2 linked regions of the Oryctolagus cuniculus genome follow. The protein of the gene in region 2 binds, or shares a complex with, the protein of the main gene of each other region. Links are inferred from orthologs where the notes say so. Each region holds a gene or a part of one and is shown on either strand. Other genes may lie near its edges.

Region 1 (4,406 bases), on a different chromosome or scaffold from region 2:
CCATGTGCCTAGTTTACAATTAAACTTTGTGGCAGGCATGCTTGTATAGGAAGCGACATCGGAGTTCAGTGCCGCCCACGCCTCACGGCACCCACAAGCCAGCACCCTCTTACTGGGTGGGTGCTCCTGGACACAGTTCAGGGCTTTTTTTTTTTTTTAACCAAAACAAACTATATTATTTATTTTCAGTTTCTCTTTTAAAAATATTTATTTTTATTTGATTTGAAAGGCAAAGAGACACAGAGGGAGAGACCCTCCGTCAGCTGGTTCCCTCCCTAAATGCCTACAACAGCCAGGGCCGGGCCTGCAGAGCCCAGGAGCCCACAGTGAGCTTGGGTCTCCCGCGTACCTGCGCCGCCCCCGGCCGCCTCCCTGGAGCGCAGCCAGGACTCCGCAGGTCCTCTGACGGGGCGCAGTGTCCCCGGGGCCGAGCCGGGACTCCGCAGGTCCTCTGACGGGGTGCAGTGTCCCCGGGGCCGAGCCGGGACTCCGCAGGTCCTCTGACGGGCCGCAGTGTCCCCGGGGTCGGCTTCACCACGGCGCCACATCCACCCCTATTCCACTTAATTTGAGAAGGGGGACAGATCTTCCCCTGGCTGGCTCATTCCCCAAAAGCCTGCAACAGCTGGCGCTGGGCCAGGCTGAAGCCAGGAATTCAATCCAGGTCTCCCAGGTGGGTGGCAGGGGCCCCGTACTGAGCCATCCCGGGTGCACCCCGGCGGAAGCTGGATGAGGAACCAAGCAGCTGGGACTCCACCCAGGCACCCCGATCTAGGCTGCGGGTGTCCCAGAGTGACTTCACCACCGCACCGAGCGCCTGTTCCCGGTGTAGGTTTGTGGACCACGTAATCTTGGTGACAGTCACTCGCTTTTGTGGTCTGGGCTTCAGGGAAGCCATAAACAACATGTAAATGAAGGCACCGTGCCGTGTGCACAGACACCTTCGGGACTCCGAAATCTGAGTTTCATGTAATTTTCGTGTGTTACAAAATACCGTAGCTTGGATTTTTGTCGGCCACTGGAAAGTGGGGAAACCACCCTCAGCTCACGGGGCTGCACACAAACAGGAGTTAACCTATGGCCACGGTAGGCCCCGCCCCGCCCTACGACCAGCCCTGTCCGGCCGCCTACCCAAACCTTCGCTAGCCCTGCCGCTGGACTTGACTGAGACGCACTCCAGAGGCCTTGGCGTGGCCTTCCGGGCCCTCGTGTTCGCGCCTGCCCTCTGCGGGGCCCTGGGAGCACCCAGGCGTGTAACACGCCTGCCGGGTAACGCGACAAGCACAGAGGCTTGTGACCCGGCCCTGCCTCCACGCCCACAGCTGCTAGCACTTTCCCTACTAACTGGGAACCCCGAGGCGATCACAGCCGTGGGCTCGCGCGGAACCACCCTGCACCCCACAGCCTGGCCCAGTGGCTTCCCCGCTGGCCTGTCCCCTCCTAGGCTGAGTGTGCTGGGCGGTGGGCAGGGGCCCAGGCACCTGTGTGGACCTGGTATGGGCGACCAGTTGCTTTGGGCCGGCTGTCTGCTGTCTGCCCTCCTCCCGCAGCCCTCCAGCCAGGCTCCTTATCACCATCACCGCCTGCAGGCCATTCTCGGCCCCCCCCCGCCCCCCCATCTGGCTGCTTCTGGGGCCTTCACACCCTGCCGGCCTCCTCTGGGCCGGGAGACGCCCTTCTCCTCCCTTCTCGGCTGCTCTCTCCCTGCTTGGCCGGGGCCTCCAGTGCTGGGGCTCCACCTGGGCCCAACCCTGGTCCCTGTGCTCCCTCCCCGCCCTGCGTGCCCACCTCTGTCAAGGCAGCTTCACGCTCTCGGGCCCAGTGCCTGGGCGCCGCCGTCCTAGGGGCCTCCCTCTCCCTCGCAGCAAGGCCCCGTGGGCTCTCCCTCCAGGGTACATCATTTTGTGTTCCTGCCCCTTTGCGGGGGGGGGGGGGGGGCGGTGACGCTGCTGATGGGGAGCGACTGCCAGGTGGGGGTGGAGACCAGGTGGGGGCTGTGAGCACCAGCTGGACGCCGTGCGGAGAGGAACAGAGGGCGGCCGAGCTCGGGCGGGCGAGTGGTGAGTGACCGGCCTGGCTGCTGTTCCCGGATCTCCGTGGGCCGCTCCAGGAGCCTCCTGAGCCGTGCTCCTGGCCTCCCAGGGCTCTCGTCTAGCCCCCCACCCCGGCCTGCTGCCTGCCACGCCACTCACCTGGGCTAGGCGAGCCTCCCCTTGGGTGTGAGCAGAGGCCAGGGAAAACACACCCGGGAGCTAGAAGGCCCATCCCAGGCCAGCAGAGCAGCCCGGGGCAGAGCCTCCTGGAGTGTGACCTTAGGCGAGTCACTTCCCCTTTCTGGGTCACTGTCCACCTCTCACTGCACTGTCCCCGCCCCACCATAACAATGACTTTTTTCCTGGCCATGTACGGTATACCGGATTGATAACCCAGTGTTTCCTCCATACACCTGCTCGGCAGCCCAGCACTCCTGCCATGGTGGTAACCGACCGGTCAGTGTTACAGAAGGGGAGACTGGCTCAGAGGGGGCCGGGCCTTGCCCAAAGCCCTCAGTGAGTCGCGGTCAGCATGTGGGCAGCCACTGCTGGGCTGGGGCGGCAGGGGGGCGGTTAAGGGGCACTGGCGCTCCGCAGTGGGACGGAACCTACCTCCATGGTGGCTGCTGCGGCTCGGCTGCCGCTGCTGGTGACTGGCGTCCCCCCGGGGGCCTGAGGGCCGGTCCCCTGTGGGGCTGGGGCCCAGGCCCCTCTCGGCAGAGCTGGAGTCTTCCTGCTCACTGGGCTCAAACTCTGGGATCTGGAACATGCTCTGGGCTGTGGGACAAGACAGCAGGGCGTCAGGACACAGGAGGGGCAGACGGTCGCTGTCGGGGACGGCGGCAGGTGCGCCTGGCTCCCCCTTCCACCCCGGCACCCCGAGGCCCCCTGGGTCTCCCCAGGCCCTTCTCTCTCTAGGCCTGGCCCGGCAGGGGCACCCGAATCTCGGCATAGAGTTCTGGTGCTGTAGGGGCAGCCCGGGGCCCTTACCCAGGCCCCAGCCCGACCCAAGCCGCCGGGGGGCGACGCCGCACAGGCCTCACCCCGCGCCCGGCCGAGGCCCCCGACCCGGCTCCGCCGCCTCCCTCCAGGACCGAGGGCGCCCAGCCTTCGTTGCCTGGGCAACGGGAACTGTCAGCGGCCCGGCCCAATCAGCTCTCGAAGTGGAAGCCGGGTTGGCCCGGAGGCGGGGCCGCCTCCACCCGCGACCTGCCCGGGCCGCCGCCTTCCTCCTCGGTCCCCCCGGGCCGCCCGAGGCTCCGCTCCTGACTTACTCACGCCCTGGGCGTGTGTGGGAGCAGGTGAGGGAGCCCCTGGGGTCCCCGCGTGGGACCCGGAGGCCCGCTTCCGCCGACGAGCCCCTCGGGGCCCCCCACTGCGGAGTCGGGGCGACGGCGGCGAGGCGCCTCTCCCCGGGAGCCAAGTACAAGACACTCGTAAACAGTGGTGATTACTGTAGGTGAAAGGACTTGGCAAAGCCGCCAGCGAAGCTCCGCGGTCGGATGCAGTTGTCGTTGCTATTGTTACTGTTCCGCCCGCACTGGGCGACCCGGGCGGGAAGTCCCGCTCCCTCCTCCTCCTCCTCCTCCTCCCCTGCGTGGAGGCCTCGGGCGGCCCGCCGGAGGGCCTGCTCCTCGCGCCGTCTCGGGATCACTCGAGATAAGGCAGGGCACCTCCTCCCCGGCAGGATGAGGGCCCGGGCGCGGGAGAAGGGACAGGGGCCCCGGTGAGGGCGAACCGTAGGCCTCGAGGGGCTCCGCGTCTGGCAGGCGGCGCGCGGGCGGCCGGCCAGGTGAGCGGGGGCCGCGCGGGCCAGGGCGAGGGGCGCGCCAGCGGCCCTGCGGGGCAGCTTCGGGGTCCCGCGGGTGGGGGGCCGGGGGCGGGGCCCGGAGGCCATCTTGGCTACGGGCGGAAGTTTCCCTCGGAGGCTGAGTGAGGGGGCGCCGTTGCCGCCTCCGGCCGGGCGGCGCAACACTGATTTGGGGATGGGGGCGAGAGGTGTAGGGGCTCGCGGCCCTCCACAGACAAGCCAGGTCTGGTGGCGCAGGGCGCAACCCGGCCGGGCGCCCCCCAGGTACGGCGCGGCCCCCGCCTCTCCTCCGCCCGCCGCTTCTTGTAACCCGGGGCGCCCGCCGGCGGCGCACCTCGCGCCGATTCTCCACTGAGTCTACGCCGGGCGCGGCGCGGGGCCGCAGAGCTGGGGCCGGCCCCTGCGCAACTGGCGTAGCGCACGGCGCCCGCGCAGGCGCAGGAGGGGGCGGAGCGGCGGGAGCCGGGGTGCCCGAGCCCGGGGTCCCGGCGACCGGAGCCGGCTCCCCCGAGCCGCGCACGGCCTGAGGACTTGGCATCGGCCTCTTCCCGCCTCCCGCGGCT
Region 2 (4,382 bases):
TATGGCCAACACCTAGCGCCCTGCCCACCTCCGTAAACGCTCAGCAAACTCATTGCTTAAGAACCTAACACAATGCCTAATACATAGGAGGGTCTCCGTAAAGGCTAATTTCCTTCCCTTTCCTGTGACGATGCCAAATTTAGACAACATCCGTCGGCAGGCAGAGTGGCCCGTAACTCCTACGCTCAGGGATCCCTCAGCTGAGGCCTCCAGGCTGAGCTGCTACTGCAGTAGCCAGTCACTGCTGCTCAGAGCAGGGTGGCACCTTTCCCGGCTCGCTCGGAGGGCTCTGACTCAAATGTTCTTCACCCACTGGTCTCAGGGGAAGAACACACTCCCAGGAATGGTTCTGACACAACTCGCTCTTCTACACACGTCCTCTGTGTTCACTAAGAGGAAGCGACGTGTGTGTGTGAGTGTGAGTGTGACTGTGTGTGTGTGTGTGGTATGTTGTCCAACGGGCTCTGACATTTTTCAACGAGGCGATGGGAGGTGGAATTTCCATCCAGTGGCGGGCGAATGGACGGGCCCAGGCCTGCTGGGTTTTAGACCTTTTTCACCCGCAACGCTGGGTTGCTGGCAATTCTCTGATTGGGACGGCCCTCTGCAGACTGGCTGGCAGACCAGGCACCTCTCCCAACCTGCCTTTTGTTTATAGCTGGCCACAACTCACCTGGTATTAGGACCACTGGCCAGAGACAGTGGTCAAGGCAAAGTGGGCAACTGGCCCACGTCCCTCCACAGAGATGCCTCCGAGGGTGTGTCTGTAGTACTGGAATCCTGGAATCAGCTGAACAAATATTTGCCCCCAAAGAGAATCAAAGCAGGAGGGACCAGGAGAGGTCATCACACAAAACCCAACAGGAACTGTTTAATCATTTATCCCCCAGGGAGTTCATTTACAGAATGGCTTTTCAAGTCTATCAGCCTTAGCTCCAGGGAGCCTCCGGCCTCTACCACCCCCACCCCCACCCCCACCCCCACCCCCACCCCGTCGCCTACTGACTTGACCCCCTAGCCTTTTTCAAGAGCCTGCTGAGGAGATGAGCTGAAGTTGCAAAGAAACGGGAAACGAGCCAGGGGGTGGGGTTCCAGGAGAAACTCAGGAGGTTTGGCTCCACGGTAAAACCGAGTGCCGGCCACGCCCCGGCCCAGCCCACGACAATCACATTCCTGGCATTCCTGAGTCCAGGTGCGCGGCCCTTCCACCTCTGCTCCCTCAATGGATGACTTATTCCCCACAGCCTGTGGATTTTCTGCATTTTCTGAGGGAACAGAATGCCTGTGTTCCGCACCTCCCCTGGGCAGGGAGACCAGCAAGGAAACAGGACCAACCCCGCCTGCAGTGACCACTGGTGCAAAAGGTCCCTCCACCACCTCCTCGTGACTCAGGGACGGAGAGAGACACCTCCCTGTCTGGACTGGGAGCTCCCTGGCGTCCCTCACTCTGCTCACGCCACCTCCAAGGCTTCCAGGACTCTGCGAGACCAGGCGAGCTGGCCACGTTTCCCAGTGCAGGAAACTGAGGCTCAAGAAAGTAAAGAGCCTGTCCAAGGTCACACAGCTGGCCAAGAGAGAGGGCTGGCGCTCCCACTCACGTCCAAAGTCTGACACCAAATCTCAATGGCCCACAGAGCCCCACAGACTGACTTCTTGCCTTGCCAGCCGGCCAGTCAGAGGCAGAGCAGCTGGAGCTCCTCACCCCACCCCAGGCAGCGAGTGAGGTGCAAAGTCCTGGGGCTTAAAGCGTGACACAGCAAGAGCTCCACAAACAGGCCAACCGTGCAGAAAGTTGCAAGCTGTGTGCAGCACCAACTCAGGAGGTGCAGCACCAACACGAGTGGCACAGCCCACGCTGACCTAGAATCGGACAATTCCGAACCCACCAAGCCACTGGGGGGAACTCCTGCTTGGCCACATAAGAAAACTCTGAAATAAAGGGAAGGAAGCCCAGGTCAGGACGGCCAGTCCTGGAGAAGAAAGGACGCAGCGACTTGTGGGTCCCCGGCACGCCACCACCTGCTCCAGACATTCTGCTTGTCACCCTTTCAAAGCATGGAGAGCCACTGCTCCAGAGTGAGGGGGGCACTGGACCAACCCCCCACTCACAGATCAACACCTCAGCTATTCTGTGCTGAGAAACTGGAAAATAAGCATGGAAGATCAGGGTCATGAGGGTGCCCAGATGGAAAGAACCAGGTCTGGTGCTGAAATGGGGCCAGTGCCTCCAACAGTCATCTAACTAGCAGAAGCTGCAGGGAAAGGCTGCTGGGGGTCCTCTGACAGAGGCCAAAGCACAGGGACAAATGAGGGGTGTGGTTCTTACCCAGCCGCCGTTCTCCTGGATCCAGGGCTCCAGGTGATCATTCAGGTAAGTGGCCATCCACGCCGCGATCCGACTCACCAATACCTCCATCTCCTTGTCCACGCTTTCCACGCACAGTGCCCCGCCGAAGGAGAAAAAGGCCACAATGCGGCCCCAGTTCACCCCATCCCGGAAGAGTTCGTTCACTACTTGTTCAAAGCTCTGATATGCTGTCCCTGGGGTGATGTGGAGCTGGGATGTCAGGTCGCTGAATGCCCGCCGGTACCGCAGTTCAAACTCGTCGCCTGCCTCCCTCAGAGCCTGCTTCACTGCTGTCATGGGGATCACCTCCCGGGCATCCAAACTGCTGCTGTGGCCAGTGGCTCCGTTCACCGCGGGGCTGTCCGCCGGGTGCCAGGCTGGGTTGCCATTGATGGCACTGGGGGTCTCCATCTCTGGTCCAGTCCCTTCCGGGGCCTCAGTCCTGTTCTCTTCCACATCGCTAAACTGACTCCAGCTGTATCCTTTCTGCGAAAGCTTGTAGGAGAGAAAGTCAACCACCAGCTCCCGGTTGCTCTGAGACATTTTTATAATAGGGATGGGCTCAACCAGTCCATTGTCCAGAACACCTGCTCAGGGATTCTCTTCTGTGATCCAAAGCCAAAATAAGGCTCTGAAGGGAGAAAAAGAGCTTTAGGGAAAGAAAAAAAATTAGTATAAATGCCATTTCCCCCCGCAACATCCCCTTCCCCTTCCAGGTACCAAAACTCGTTTCTTTGTGGCTCCTATGAAGGTCTGGGTCTAGGTTCCACGAGACTTCAATGAAGTCAAATTGTAAGCACCACTGGGCTCTGAATCATCCCACTGGCCTCTTTTATCCCAGCCACCCCTTTTTCTCCGAAACGCTGTCCTCGGAAAGTCACCCCATGGGCAGTCCCCCCACCACCACCCGCCGCCCCCGCACCACCTACATTCAATTCCGTCTAAGCCGGCGACAGCAGGCAGGTGCACCCCCGTAAGATCTTTTGTATCATAGGTCGGGAGAGGAGGTGGCGGCAGGCCGGGATGCCGGTAACTCAGCCGGCTTCGCGGCGGCTGGCGAAACAAACAGCTCCGGCCGGAGGGATCATGCGACCCGGCAGGCTGGGCGCCCAGAAGGCGACACAGGAATTGCGACGCTCAGGAACCAGCCCGCTTGCTGGCTTGCTCCTCCATTGCCGGGATCCAGGGCCGCCGCTCCGCTCCGCTCCGCGCCCGCGGCCTCTAGCCACCCGGGAGCCCAGCCCCCTCGCTCTCGCACGCCCCTTGGCTCTCCGCCTCCTACTGGGAGCCAGGAGAACTCTCCCGGAGGTGGCTGCTGTAGGCTTAAGGTTTTTCTTTCTTTCTTTTTTTTTTTTTCCTCCTTCACTCCGGTCTATTTAAGTACCAGCCCTGGGGGAGGTTCCCGAAACCCTGAAGGGACTTCTCAATGGGGCTCAGGGTTTCGATGAGGGACGCGGGGAGGAGAAAGCTGCCTCCGATCTGCCATCTGACTCCGGGAAGGCCACCCCCGGGCCTTTCCGGGAAGCTGAAGGCCGGAGACCCCCAATAAACGCCGCTGATTTTCTTTGAATTCCCCAAAGGCCCTGAACGTGGCGGTGGGGGATTGCCAGGTCCTCCATTCCCCGCCCGGATACAATGGCCGCCGGCGCCCTGCACAAAGACGGGGTGAGGGGGAGGCGCTGGGCCTCTTCTCGGGTCGGGAAGAGGGGTCGAGGCCTGCTTGAGGCCCCCCACGGCTGAGACCACGTTTTCCTAGGGACAGGCCCAAGGCGGCTTCTGGGAGCCCCAAGAGGGCTCGGAGGCCGGGGGCTGAACCTCTCCGGAGCCCGGGGTGGGTGGGCTGCGGCCTTGAGGCTTCTCCCGCTCGCTAGGCCGGGTACCCGCCGAGCCACCGCCCCGTTGCTAGGCAACCACCCTCCCTCAGGGGCGCCCCCTAGACCTTTCTGGGAGGAGGGGTCTAGCCCCCGGCGGCCCTCCCCCGGCGTAGCCAATCGGCGAGCCCAGTCGGCACGCAAGCGGGACGGCGAAGGCTCCC

Evidence for each region.
Region 1: the proteins of BCL2L1 (region 2) and BAD are in contact, whole or in part, in a crystal structure (PDB 2BZW), measured with the Mus musculus proteins. The link is inferred for Oryctolagus cuniculus from reciprocal best matches to the Homo sapiens genes BCL2L1 and BAD. Residues at the interface, in NP_001276645.1 of Mus musculus: Ala93, Glu96, Phe97, Arg100, Tyr101, Arg103, Ala104, Phe105, Leu108, Gln111, Leu112, Gln121, Ser122, Gln125, Val126, Glu129, Leu130, Arg132, Asp133, Asn136, Trp137, Gly138, Arg139, Val141, Ala142, Phe146, Asp193, Leu194, Tyr195, Gly196; in NP_031548.1 of Mus musculus: Ala137, Leu141, Ala143, Ala144, Gln145, Tyr147, Gly148, Arg149, Leu151, Arg152, Met154, Ser155, Asp156, Glu157, Phe158, Glu159, Phe162, Lys163.

Annotation. Positions count from the first base shown.
Region 1 is NC_091432.1:7,036,641-7,041,046, reverse strand, and holds the start of BAD (bcl2-associated agonist of cell death), read right to left. Parts: upstream 2,803-4,406; coding exon 2,646-2,802; intron 2,490-2,645; exon of another isoform or gene 2,342-2,489; intron 1-2,341. UniProt on the Homo sapiens protein: Promotes cell death. Successfully competes for the binding to Bcl-X(L), Bcl-2 and Bcl-W, thereby affecting the level of heterodimerization of these proteins with BAX. Can reverse the death repressor activity of Bcl-X(L), but not that of Bcl-2.
Region 2 is NC_091442.1:25,992,906-25,997,287, reverse strand, and holds the start of BCL2L1 (bcl-2-like protein 1), read right to left. Parts: upstream 2,891-4,382; coding exon 2,327-2,890; intron 1-2,326. UniProt on the Homo sapiens protein: Potent inhibitor of cell death. Inhibits activation of caspases. Appears to regulate cell death by blocking the voltage-dependent anion channel (VDAC) by binding to it and preventing the release of the caspase activator, CYC1, from the mitochondrial membrane.